Macaca mulatta: one gene and its partner. The protein of the gene in region 1 purifies or fractionates together with the protein of each later gene. This does not show direct contact. Links are inferred from orthologs where the notes say so. Each region holds a gene or a part of one and is shown in the gene's direction. Other genes may lie near its edges.

What was found. Proteins that work in one complex are often made in the same cells at the same time.
Region 2: the proteins of ROCK2 (region 1) and RHOA purify together in Homo sapiens (affinity purification with western blotting; 3 studies listed by BioGRID, with this or other methods). This does not show direct contact. The link is inferred for Macaca mulatta from reciprocal best matches to the Homo sapiens genes ROCK2 and RHOA.

What each region holds. Positions count from the first base shown.
Region 1 is NC_133418.1:113,613,856-113,619,358, forward strand, and holds part of ROCK2 (rho-associated protein kinase 2), read left to right. Parts: intron 1-210; coding exon 211-346; intron 347-439; coding exon 440-531; intron 532-768; coding exon 769-1,015; intron 1,016-1,389; coding exon 1,390-1,496; intron 1,497-4,052; coding exon 4,053-4,212; intron 4,213-5,503. UniProt on the Homo sapiens protein: Protein kinase which is a key regulator of actin cytoskeleton and cell polarity.
Region 2 is NC_133407.1:112,847,480-112,853,720, reverse strand, and holds the start of RHOA (transforming protein RhoA), read left to right. Parts: upstream 1-2,813; 5' UTR 2,814-3,430; intron 3,431-6,241. UniProt on the Homo sapiens protein: Small GTPase which cycles between an active GTP-bound and an inactive GDP-bound state.

The sequences.
Region 1 (5,503 bases):
GAAGTTTGAATAGTAAACAAAATATTTATGGTCTTTATGATTTAAGAGTGGTGTGCTAGTTTACAATCATGGAAAGCATTATTACAGTTTTAACAAAAAAGTGATAGCCTTTTTGAGATCTTTGTTATCTGTTTGGAATAACAACTATTTTTTGTTCTGATTTTATTTTTATACATACTTTTTCGATAATAACTTTAAGCATTATTTCAGATTACCTTAAGGAAAAGTGTGGAATCAGCATTAAGACAGTTAGAAAGAGAAAAGGCGCTTCTTCAGCACAAAAATGCAGAATATCAGAGGAAAGCTGATCATGAAGCAGACAAGAAACGAAATTTGGAAAATGATGGTTTGTATTGTAGAATATTAATTATCAAGAAAAATATTAAGTGTGTGTATGTGTGTTATGTTAAGCTTGCCACTGAAATGCTTTTTATCGTAGTTAACAGCTTAAAAGATCAACTTGAAGATTTGAAAAAAAGAAATCAAAACTCTCAAATATCCACTGAGAAAGTGAATCAACTCCAGAGACAAGTAGGTGGATCTCAATTTGTAGTAAAGATATTGGGTTTTATTTATAACCATGCAGTAACATTAGTTTTAATTTAAGTGTTGCAAAAGGCCTTTACCTCTAATTTTAGAAATCATTTGGAAAATATTTTTAGGTTTTTGTTTATTTTAAATAGTTTCTAATAGGGGAATAGATTGACTTATTTTCATTACATACATCTGTGTTTGTTTGTTGTTGTTTGGTTTTGAATGGAATAACAGCTGGATGAAACCAATGCTTTACTGCGAACAGAATCTGATACTGCAGCCCGGTTAAGGAAAACCCAGGCAGAAAGTTCAAAACAGATTCAGCAGCTAGAATCTAACAATAGAGATCTACAAGATAAAAACTGCCTGCTGGAGACTGCCAAGTTAAAACTTGAAAAGGAATTTATCAATCTTCAGTCAGCACTGGAATCTGAAAGGAGGGATCGAACCCATGGATCAGAGATAATTAATGATTTACAAGGTATTGAAGTCGTGGTTGCACTTGAATTAATTCTGATGATTCTTATTTTTAAAATAACTTTAGATGATGGATAGTGTGCTGGAGTAGGACATTTCTGAGTATACTACTCTTATGTAAAGTTAGAATATTAGAAATACATTGACACAAAATTTTATGAACAAAAGATTTAATTTCAAATAGTATGATTTTAAGTATTAAACTCTTCAGGTAGTAGATTGGATTGCATTTAACTGTAAAGCACAACACCAACAAGTATAAAACTCCTGCTCGCAAATAACAGCTCCAAAATAGAAGGTGGCTTGCAAACTTTTTATTCTTAGTTGAATGTATATACTTTGTGTGTTTAATGTTTTTAAAAACGTTGAAATTTTTAGGTAGAATATCTGGCCTAGAAGAAGATTTAAAGAACGGCAAAATCTTAATAGCGAAAGTAGAACTGGAGAAGAGACAACTGCAGGAGAGATTTACTGATTTGGAAAAGGTAAAACATGATTTGTATTTTTGCATAAGAAAATTGACTGTAGACTTTCAGGTTAGAAAAGTTATTCTAAACTAAGGGAAGTCACTAACTGTAGTATTTCCACATGCTCATGGATTCCTTTCCATTTGGACTTGATACGTAGATAAGAGATGTATCTGCAGGCTTACCATAACGCTATACAAGCAGCCCTCAGCATGCTGGCTGCTCACAAAGGAAGGGGACCTATCCTGGAGTGTAGATAATGAGGATCTCTGTAGGAACTCAAGGAAAACTCAAATTTTGACTCATAACATGCCTTAAAAATGATATATATAAAGTCACCGTGACTTTTGGCATTTAAAAGTTTTTCCTTTAAAATACTCTTAAGAAAGGGATGATTTCTAGAGTCTATGCATTTAGCGTTTTATTTTCATTCACTTATTTATTTACTCAACTAAATATTCAGTGTGTTATATGTGGTAGAAATATCAGGATGCAGTTCTTGCCTTGAATAATGTCACAGTTGAATAGGTAAGTTTAAAAGTAATAATAAAGCACAAAGATAATTCTAATGCAGTATGAGAAACAGAATGATAAGACTTATGGACAGGGCATATGTATTGGGCGTATGGGATGCATCCCTAACCTGACAGCAGGAAAGGTTGATAAGGGCAAAGGCACAGTCCAAGTTAGGAAGAACAGCATGAGCAAAGACATAGAGGATGGAAAATAAAAAAGGCATTGTTTGTTTATTTACATAAAAGCTGTTCAATATTTCTGGAGTATAGAGTGGGGGGTCAGCAAACTTTAATTGTTTAAAGTCAAGATAGTAAATATTTTAGCTTTTGTGGGTTATATGGTCTCTTGCAACTGTTCAGCCCTGCTGTGATTCATAAAGGAATGGCTGTGGCTATGTTCCAGTGAAACTTAAAAAAGAAAAAGACATCAGGTTAGATTGGCCTGAAGATCACAGTGTGGTTGTTATGTAAGGACATGAGGAATTCAGTGGTCAGAGTGAGACTACAGAGCTCCGCATGAGGTAGGTCGTGCAAGATAGCAAATACTCTATTAAGAAATTTTGAATATAGTAATGGGCTAGCCACTTAAGGGCTTTAAATTGGATGATCTTATTAGGGGTACATTAAAGATAGATCACTGTGTACTGTGTGGAGAAAAGATTTGAGGAGAAAAGACTAGAGGCAGAGAGACCAGTCAGTAGACTTTTTCAGTAATGCAGATAAGGAATAATGGGAGACTTCGTGTAGCCATTAAAAGGTTGGAAAAATTGAAAGACTCAGAAATATTTGGAAGAGGAATATTTGGCAGCGCTTAGTAGTTGATTAGATATGGCACATGAATAGCAGTCAAAGATGAGTCTCAGATTTGTAGGTTGTGACCAGATATATAGTGATGCTATTAATAAAGAATAAAGGAAAAATGGCTCATTTAGAAGAGACAGTGATAAACCCACTTTAGTCCTCTTAAGTTTGAGGGTACCTGTGGGAAAGCCAAATTAGAATGTCTGCACTGCAGTAGGCTATAGTAGTAGAAGTTAGAAATATTTGAGTCATTGGTATGTTAGTAGCTGAAATCATGTGAGTGAAATAGCCCATCTGGGAAGAGACTGTGTAAAGTAGTGATTTATTTTTTATTTTTTTATTTTTTTTTTAGGACAGAGTAGATAACTCTGTTGGTGGATTATGTGGTTTGAGAAATCATTTTTTGTATGAAAGGTTTTATTTGGAAAAAACCCTTTATCATATTTGTGATATGAACTATAGAAATAAAAGAATTAGAAAACCTTTGGGGAGTATGTAGAAAATAGGGGGAGCATTGAGGCTTATATCACCAACATTTAAGGGACAGCTGGGAAAGCCTCAGAAGCAACAGGAAGGATGCAAGCAGAATGGAGAGAACCAACTAAGTACAAGGTCGGCAATGCCAAGGGATGGTTTTAAGGGTGGCGGTGAGTTCAGATGAGATAAGATTGAAAAAGGTCTTTAGAATTTGATATGGAGAATAGCATTGGTCTTTTTGTTGAGATTAAGTGATCTTGATACAGATCTTGGAACAGCAGAGTGGTGGTGTAGACTGTTGGGTGCAGTGAGAAGTAGAGTATATAGATTACTATTCTAAGAGGTTTGAGTGAAGATGGGAGGGAAAATACTGAACATTCGTATTAAGCCTGTTAAAAAATGATTTAAGGTTGAGCACCGTGGCCCACACCTATAATCTCAGCACTGTGGGAGGCTGAGTCGGGAGGATCACTTGAGCCCAGGAGTTCAAGATCAGTGTAGGATAGGCAGTGTTTAGTGAGACCTTGTCTCTACATTAAAAAATAAAATAAAATAGCCAGGAGTGGTGACAAACGTCTATAGTCCCAGCTACTTTGGAGGCTGAGGTAGGAGGATCGATTGAGCCTGGGGAGGTTGCACTTGCAATGAGCCATCATCAAACCACTGCCCTTCAGCCTGGGTAATAGAGCAAGACTCTGTCTCAAAAAAAAAAAATAGAAAGCTTTTGAAGTTGTGAGCTAGTCTCTTTTTTGTTGATAGCTGCATTTTAAATATTTAACAGGAAAAAAGCAACATGGAAATAGATATGACATACCAACTAAAAGTTATACAGCAGAGCCTAGAACAAGAAGAAGCTGAACATAAGGCCACAAAGGCACGACTAGCAGATAAAAATAAGATCTATGAGTCCATCGAAGAAGCCAAATCAGAAGCCATGAAAGGTATGCATTTTTAAAGAGGGTTTTCCAGCAGCATCTTCCTAAGAATTGATTCTGTGTTCAGCTTTTTGGTTTTGAAACATATTTGTTTATATTTCGTTGTCAAATATTGGGAATTGGAGGGGAAAAAGCTATTAGGGAAGCTTTACATAGATATTATATTATTTTTCCTTTGTATCATTACAGTAATCATTTCTAAGATAGTAAGACCCAAACACAAAATTACATGATCAAAAATAATATTTTAGATCAGAGATTTTTAGATCAGAGATAAATTAATATTTCTCAATATTATATACCTGGCAATATCTGTACCACTCTGTATATCAGTAGTAAGAAGGTATGTCTGAACTTCACATGCTGTATACCTGTTACTATTGATACAGGTAATTCTTACAAGAGTTTTGTATTATAAAATTCTTGCCAGTTTATGCAAGGTAAGGATTTAAAAATAATAGCTGGTCTAACTAGAATATAAGTTCACTGAGTATTTTGATCTCTAATGTGATGAAGATACTAGTCAGATTTGGTCAAAGCCATATAATACTAATAGATAACAAAGTTAACCTTCCCATAAACTAGCCTTTATCCTGGAATTGTCTTAGGATAATTTTTTCTTTTCCAAACTGACTGTTTATAATGACTCTGAAATTCCAAAGAAAATCAGTACTTTAAGCTATTCTTGTGAAAGGCTTAAAACTCTTGAACAGAAATTTATTTTCATACTGAAGCATAACATTTATGAGTAAATCACTTAGAAAAAAATAGCCTTTTTATTATTGCATGTAATTAAAATGGTAGATTTTCTTAGTAAAAATCAGTGTAGTTTAAGGCACTAAATCAGGATGATAAGAAAGAAATGAGTACTTTATTTAGAAAAATCTAATTGTAAGGGAGAAAGTTTCCTTGTCTGTGGCCTAGAAGACAGAGTTTAATTATTTTCATTGAGGTATAATTTACATGCAATAATAAAATGTAAACATTTTTTATGTTTTGTGATATGCTCACATAACTACTGCTCAAAACAAGATAAAGAATATATCAGGCTAGGCATGGTGGCTCACATCTGTAATCCTAGCACTTTGGGAGGCCAGGATGGGAGGATCTCTTGAGCCCAGGAGTTCGAGACCAGCCTGGCTAGCATAGCAAGACCCTATCTCTACAAGAAATAGAAAAATTAGCTGGATGTAGTCGCGTGCGCCTATAGTCCCAGCTACTTGGGGGACTGATGTGGGAACATTGCTTGAGCCCAGGAGTTCAAGGCTGCAGTGAGCCATGATTGCATCACTGCACT
Region 2 (6,241 bases), on another chromosome or scaffold:
AGCCTGTAATCCCAGCACTTTGGGAGGCCGAGACGGGCGGATCACGAGGTCAGGAGATCGAGACCATCCTGGCTAACATGGTGAAACCCCGTCTCTACTGAAAATACAAAAAAAAATTAGCCGGGCGTGGTGGCGGGCGCCTGTAGTCCCAGCTACTCGGGAGGCTGAGGCAGGAGAATGGTGTGAACCCAGGAGGCGGAGCTTGCAGTGAGCTGAGATCCGGCCACTGCACTCCAGCCTGGGTGACAGAGCAAGACTCCGTCTCAAAAAAAAAAAAAATTTCACTGTAGTCTAGGTGGTGGGGTACAGGTGTATACTGTAAAAAAAAATTTATTTATTTTTTCCCTTTTAGTATAGAGTCTTGCTCTGTCGCCCAGGCTGGAGTACAGTGCGCGATCTGGACTCACTGCAACCTCCACCTCCTGGGTTGAAGCAGTTCTTCTGCCTCAGCTTCCTGAGTAGCTGGGATTCACAGGCATCCGCTACCACTCCTGGCTAATTTTTGTATTTTGAGAAGAGACCAGGTTTCACCACGTTGGCCAGGCTGGTCTTGAACTCCTGACCTCATGATCCACACGCCTCGGCCTCCCAAAGTGCTGGGATTACAGGTGTGAACTACTGCACCCGGCCTAAGTTTTTTTTTTTTTTCTTTTTTTGAGACGGTCTCACTCTGTCACCCAGGCTGGAGTGCAGTGGCATGATCTTGGCTCATTGCAACCTCAACCTCCTGGTTCAGGTGATGCTTTCACCTCAGCCTCCCAAAGCTTGGATTATAGGTGCGAGTCACCACACCTGGCTAATTTTTATGTTTTTTTGCAGAGACTGGGTTTCGCTGTGTCGCTCAGGCCGGTCTTGAACTCCCAGCCTCAAGTGATCTGCCTGCCTTGGCCGCCCAAAGTCTCAAACTCCTGGCCTCAAGTGATCCACCCGTCTTGGCCTCACAAAGTGTTGGGATTACAGGTGTGAGCCATCATACCAGGCCTATATTTATTTATTTATTTTTAGAGACAGGGTCTCACTATGTTGCCCAGGCTGGCCTCAAACTGCTGGGCTCAAGCAGTCCTCCTGCCTCACCCTCCCAAAGTGCTGGGATTACAGGCATGAGCCACTGTACCCAGCAAAATATTTGCTAAATAAGAAAAATCATAAAGCTGAAACTAGATTCTTTTTTTTTTTTTTTTAAGATGGAGTCTCTCTGTCGCCAGGTTGAAGTACAGCCTTGGCGCGATCTCGGCTCACTGCAACCTCTGCCCACCTGGTTCAGCCAATTCTCTTGCCTCAGCCTCCAGAGTAGCTAGGACTACAGGCACGGGCCACCACACCCAGCTAATTTTTGTGTTTTTAGTAGAGAGGAGGTTTCACCATGTTGGCCAGGATGGCCTCGACTTCTTGACCTCGTGACCCCGTGATCCTCCCGCCTCGGCCTCCCAAGGTGTTGGGATTACAGGCGTGAGCCACCAAGGATTTGTGTTAAAATTTTTTTTGCTGGCCAGGCACGGGGGCTCAAGCCTGTAATCCCAGCACTTTGGGAGGCCGAGACGGGTGGATCACGAGGTCAGGGGATCGAGGCCATCCTGGCTGGCTAACACGGTGAAACCCCGTTTCTACTAAGAAATACAAAAAACTAGCCAGGCGAGGTGGCGGGCGTCTGTAGTCCCAGCTACTCGGGAGGCTGAGGCAGGAGAATGGCGTAAACCCGGGAAGTGGAGCTTGCAGTGAGCTGAGATCAGGCCACTGCACCCCAGCCTGGGCGACAGAGCGAGACTCCGTCTAAAAAAAAAAATTTTTTTTTGCTTTATTTTTTTCTTCTTTTTTTGTATTAGAGATGGGGTGTTGCTATGTTGCCTAGACTGATCTTGTACTCCTGGGCTCAAGTGGTCCTCCTGTCTCAGCCTCCCAAAGTGCTAGGATTACAGGTGTGAGTCAAGCAATGCTCGTGCCTCAGCCTCCCCAGTAGCTCGATTACAGGTGCCAACCACCACCTGCCCACCACCCCCGGCTAATTTTTGTATTTTGTATTTTAGTAGAGACAAGAATTATACCATGTCGGCCAGGCTGGTCTCAAATTCCTGACCTCAGGCAATCCACCCACCTCAGCTTCCTGCTGGAATTATGGGCGTGAGCTACCCTGGCCAAGATTTTTAACTTCTGAAGCTTATAGCTGCTCTAAATCACAAGAATTCAGTTCCATAATTTTAAAAAGTTGCTTGTTTTGACTTTAGGTATATGGTTGAACATTCTAACTTTTGTTATGTATACATTTTTATTTTACTGTATTCTTGTGGCCATTGTATCCTACTCTGTATGTTGCAGATGAGTTGTGATTCTCTGGACTTAGAGATCACATGCTCTATTACCAGGATATTTTTTTGTAACTCCGTTTGTTGTTTGGGATATAGGCTTTGAGAGGTTAAGGAAGTAAATTTAGGATGGATATTGATGTTGTAGCACTTTGTTAATCCTTTTCTCTACAAGATAATTTTATTATGTGATACAGCAATTTTGTTCAGAGATGTTTTGTGTGTGTGTGGAAAATTTCTTTTCTGGATGAAATCTCTTGTTTAACTTCTCCAGTTATTCATAATGAAGCTGTTTATCTTTTAAAGATATTAAGTTCAGAAAAGGAAGGCAAGCTGCATACAGTGGCTCACGCCTTTATTCCAGCACTTTGGGAGGCCAAGGTGGGTGGATCACCTGAGGTCAGGAGTTCAAAACCAGTCTGACCAACATGGTGAAACCCCATCTCTACTAAAACTACAAAAATTAGCCAGGTGTGTTAGTGGGTTACTGTAATCCCAGCTACTCAGGAGGCTGAAGCAGGAGAATTGCTCGAACTTGGGAGGTGGAGGTTGCAGTGCTCCAAGATCACAGCACTCCAGCCTGGGCAACTCTGTCTCAAACACAAACACAAAGAAAAGGAAGGCAGTAGAGTATCTTATTTAAGAGCATGGATTCTGGAGAGAAGCTGACAGTTAAATACTAGCTCTGACACTTGATGGCTTGAGACCCTTGACAGTAATATGATTCCTTTTTGATTCAGTTTTTTTCTTCTGTAGAAAGGGAATGGTAAGCGAGCACTATGAGATTTCAGTGAGAGAGAAGCACTTACCTCAAGTGCCAGACAGCAGCCTTTCAGCTAACTTATTATATTTATTTATTTTTTGAGATGAAGTTTTGCTCTTGTTGCACAGGCTGGAGTGCAATGGCACGATCCCAGCTTACTGCAATCTCCACCTCTCAGGTTCAAGCGATTCTCCTGCCTCAGCCTCCTGAGTAGTTGGGATTACACGCATGTGCCACCATGCCCGGCTAATTTTTTGTCTTTTTATTTTTATTTTTATTTTTTTTCATTTATTTTTATTTTTTTTGAGATGGAGTCTCGCTCTGTGCAGTGGCCGGATCTCAGCTCACTGCAAGCTCCGCCTCCCGGGTCCACGCCATTCTCCTGCCTCGGCCTCCGGAGTAGCTGGGACTACAGGCGCCCGCCACCTCACCCGGCTAGTTTTTTTTTGTATTTTTCAGTAGAGACGGGGTTTCACCGTGTTAGCCAGGATGGTCTCGATCTCCTGGCCTCGTGATCCGCCCGTCTCGGCCTCCCAAAGTGCTGGGATTACAGGCTTGAGCCACTGCGCCCAGCAATTTTTTGTATTTTTAGCACAGACTGGTTTTCACGATGTTAGCCAGGATGGTTTCGATCTCCTGACCTCAGGTGATCTGCCTGCCTCCACCTCCCAAAGTGCTGGAATTACAGGTGTGAGCCACCGCGCCTGGCCTACTTTTTTTATTACTTTTTTTTTGGAGACCGAGTCTGGCTCTGTCGCCCAGGCCGGAGTACAGTGGCATGATCTCGGCGCCCTGCAACCTCCGCCTCCCAGGTTCATGCGATTCTCCTGTCTTAGCCTCCCAGGTAAACTGGGACTACAGGTGCATGCTGCCACGCCCGGCTAATTTTTGTTTTGTATTTTAGCAGAGACGGGGTTTTACCGTGTTGCCCAGGCTGGTCTCCATCTCCTGTGTTCAGGCAGTCCGCCTACCTTGGCCTCCCATAGTTGCTAGTATTACAGCCGTGAGCCACCGTGCCTGGCCTTTTTTTTTTTTGAGACGGAGGCTTGCTCTGTTGTCCAAGCTGGAGTGTAGTGGCACAATCTTGGCTCACTGCAACCTCTGCCTACCCAGTGCAAGCGATTCTCCTGCCTCAGCCTCCCAAGTAGCTGGGACTACAGGCGCGCGCCACCATGCCCAGCTAAATTTTTTGTGTGTGTTTTTGTGTTTGTTTTTTCACTAGAGACGGAGTTTCACTATGTTGGCCAGGCTGGTCTCGAACTCATGACCTCGTGATCCACTTGCCTCGGCTTCCCAAAGTACTGGGATTATGGGTGTGAGCCACAGCGCCCGGCCTTTTTTTTTTTTTTTTTTGGATAAGGTATTGTTTTGTCTTCCAGGCTGGAGTGCAGTGGCATAATCTTAGCTCATGGTGGCCTCCAGCTTTTGGTGTCAGGGTATCCTTCCACCTCAGCCTCCCGAGTAGCTGGGACTACAGGTGTGTGTGCAACTGCGCCCAGCTAATATTTTTACCTTTCGTAGAGATGGAATCTCAATGTCTTGCCCAGGTTGGTCTCAGACTCCTGGGCTCAAACAATCCTCCCACCTCAGACTCCCAAAGTGCTGGAAGTATGGGCGTGAGCCACTGAGTCCAGCTATCTTCAACTTTCACTATTCAGGTTACAGTTTGTAGTACCTTTTTTTGGCAGGGCAGGGGAAGGGTAGCGGGAGTAGCGCCCTAAGATCTCTTGGAATAAAACAGGGCTTACTACTTGGTTCCTGGTGCTTAAGAACATGTTTCCTAGACTCGGCTCTTTCCAGACTTGGAATCCAGTTCCCCAAGTTGGAATCACCTGAGGTTTGTTTTAATCACCTTCATGGAGGTATAATTTGCGTACAATAAAATGCATATACTTTATTTTATTTTATTATTATTTTTTTTTGAGACGGAGTCTCGCTCTGTCACCCAGGCTGGAGTGCAGTGGCCGGATCTCAGCTCACTGCAAGCTCCGCCTCCCGGGTTCACGCCATTCTCCGGCCTCAGCCTCCCGAGTAGCTGGGACTACAGGCGCCCGCCACCTCACCCGGCTAGTTTTTTGTATTTCTTAGTAGAGACGGGGTTTCACCGTGTTATCCAGGATGGTCTCGATCTCCTGACCTCGTGATCCACCCGTCTCGGCCTCCCAAAGTGCTGGGATTACAGGCTTGAGCCACCGCGCCCGGCCAAAATGCATATACTTTAAATGATAGTTTGATATATTTTTTTTTAGACACAGGGTCTTGTTCTGTCACCCAGCTGAAGTACAGTGTCGGAATCATAGCTTACTGCATCCTCAACCTCCTAGGCCCAAGAATTCTCCACTTCAGCCTCTTGAGTAGCTAGGGTTGCAGGTATGCACCACCACGCCTGGCTACATTTTTAGTTTTTAATTATTTTTTTGTAGAGAGAGGGGTCTCACTAAGTTGCTCAGGCTGGTCTTGAACTCCTGGTCTTAAGTGATCCTCTCGTCTCAGCCCCACAAAGCCCTGGGATTGTAGGCACGAGCCACCACAAACCACCAGTTTGATAAATTTTGATAAATATATATACCCATGTAATTGCCATTCAGTTGAGTTAAAGAGCATTTCCTCAAGGCTTTAAATTTTTATTTATTTATTTATTTTGAGACAGAGTCTTATTCTGTCATCTAGGCTGGAGTGCAATGGCGCAATCTTGGCTCACTGCAGTCTCCGCCTCCCGGGTTCAAGTGATTCTCCTGCCTCAGCCTCCCAAGTAGCTGGGACTACAAGCAAGCGTCACCACACCCAGCTAATTTTTTGTATTTTTAGTAGAGACGGGGTTTCACTGTGTGAGCCAGGATGGTCTTGATCTGATCTTGTGGTCTGTCTGCCTCTGTCTCCCAAAGTGTTGGGATTATAGGCATGAGCTAGTGCGCTGGCATTTGTTGTTGTTGTGTTTTTTGAGATGGAATCTCACTCTGTTGTCCAGGCTGCAGTGCAGTAGTACGATCTCAGCTCACTGCAACCTCTGCCTCTTGGGTTCAAGTGATTCTCCTGCCTCAGCCTCCCAAGTAGCTGGGACTACAGGCACCCGCCATCACACCCAGCTAATTTTTTGTGTTTTTAGTAGATTTGGGGTTTCGCCATGTTGGCCAGGCTAGTCTCGAAGGCCTGACCTCGTGATCTGCCTGCCTTGGCT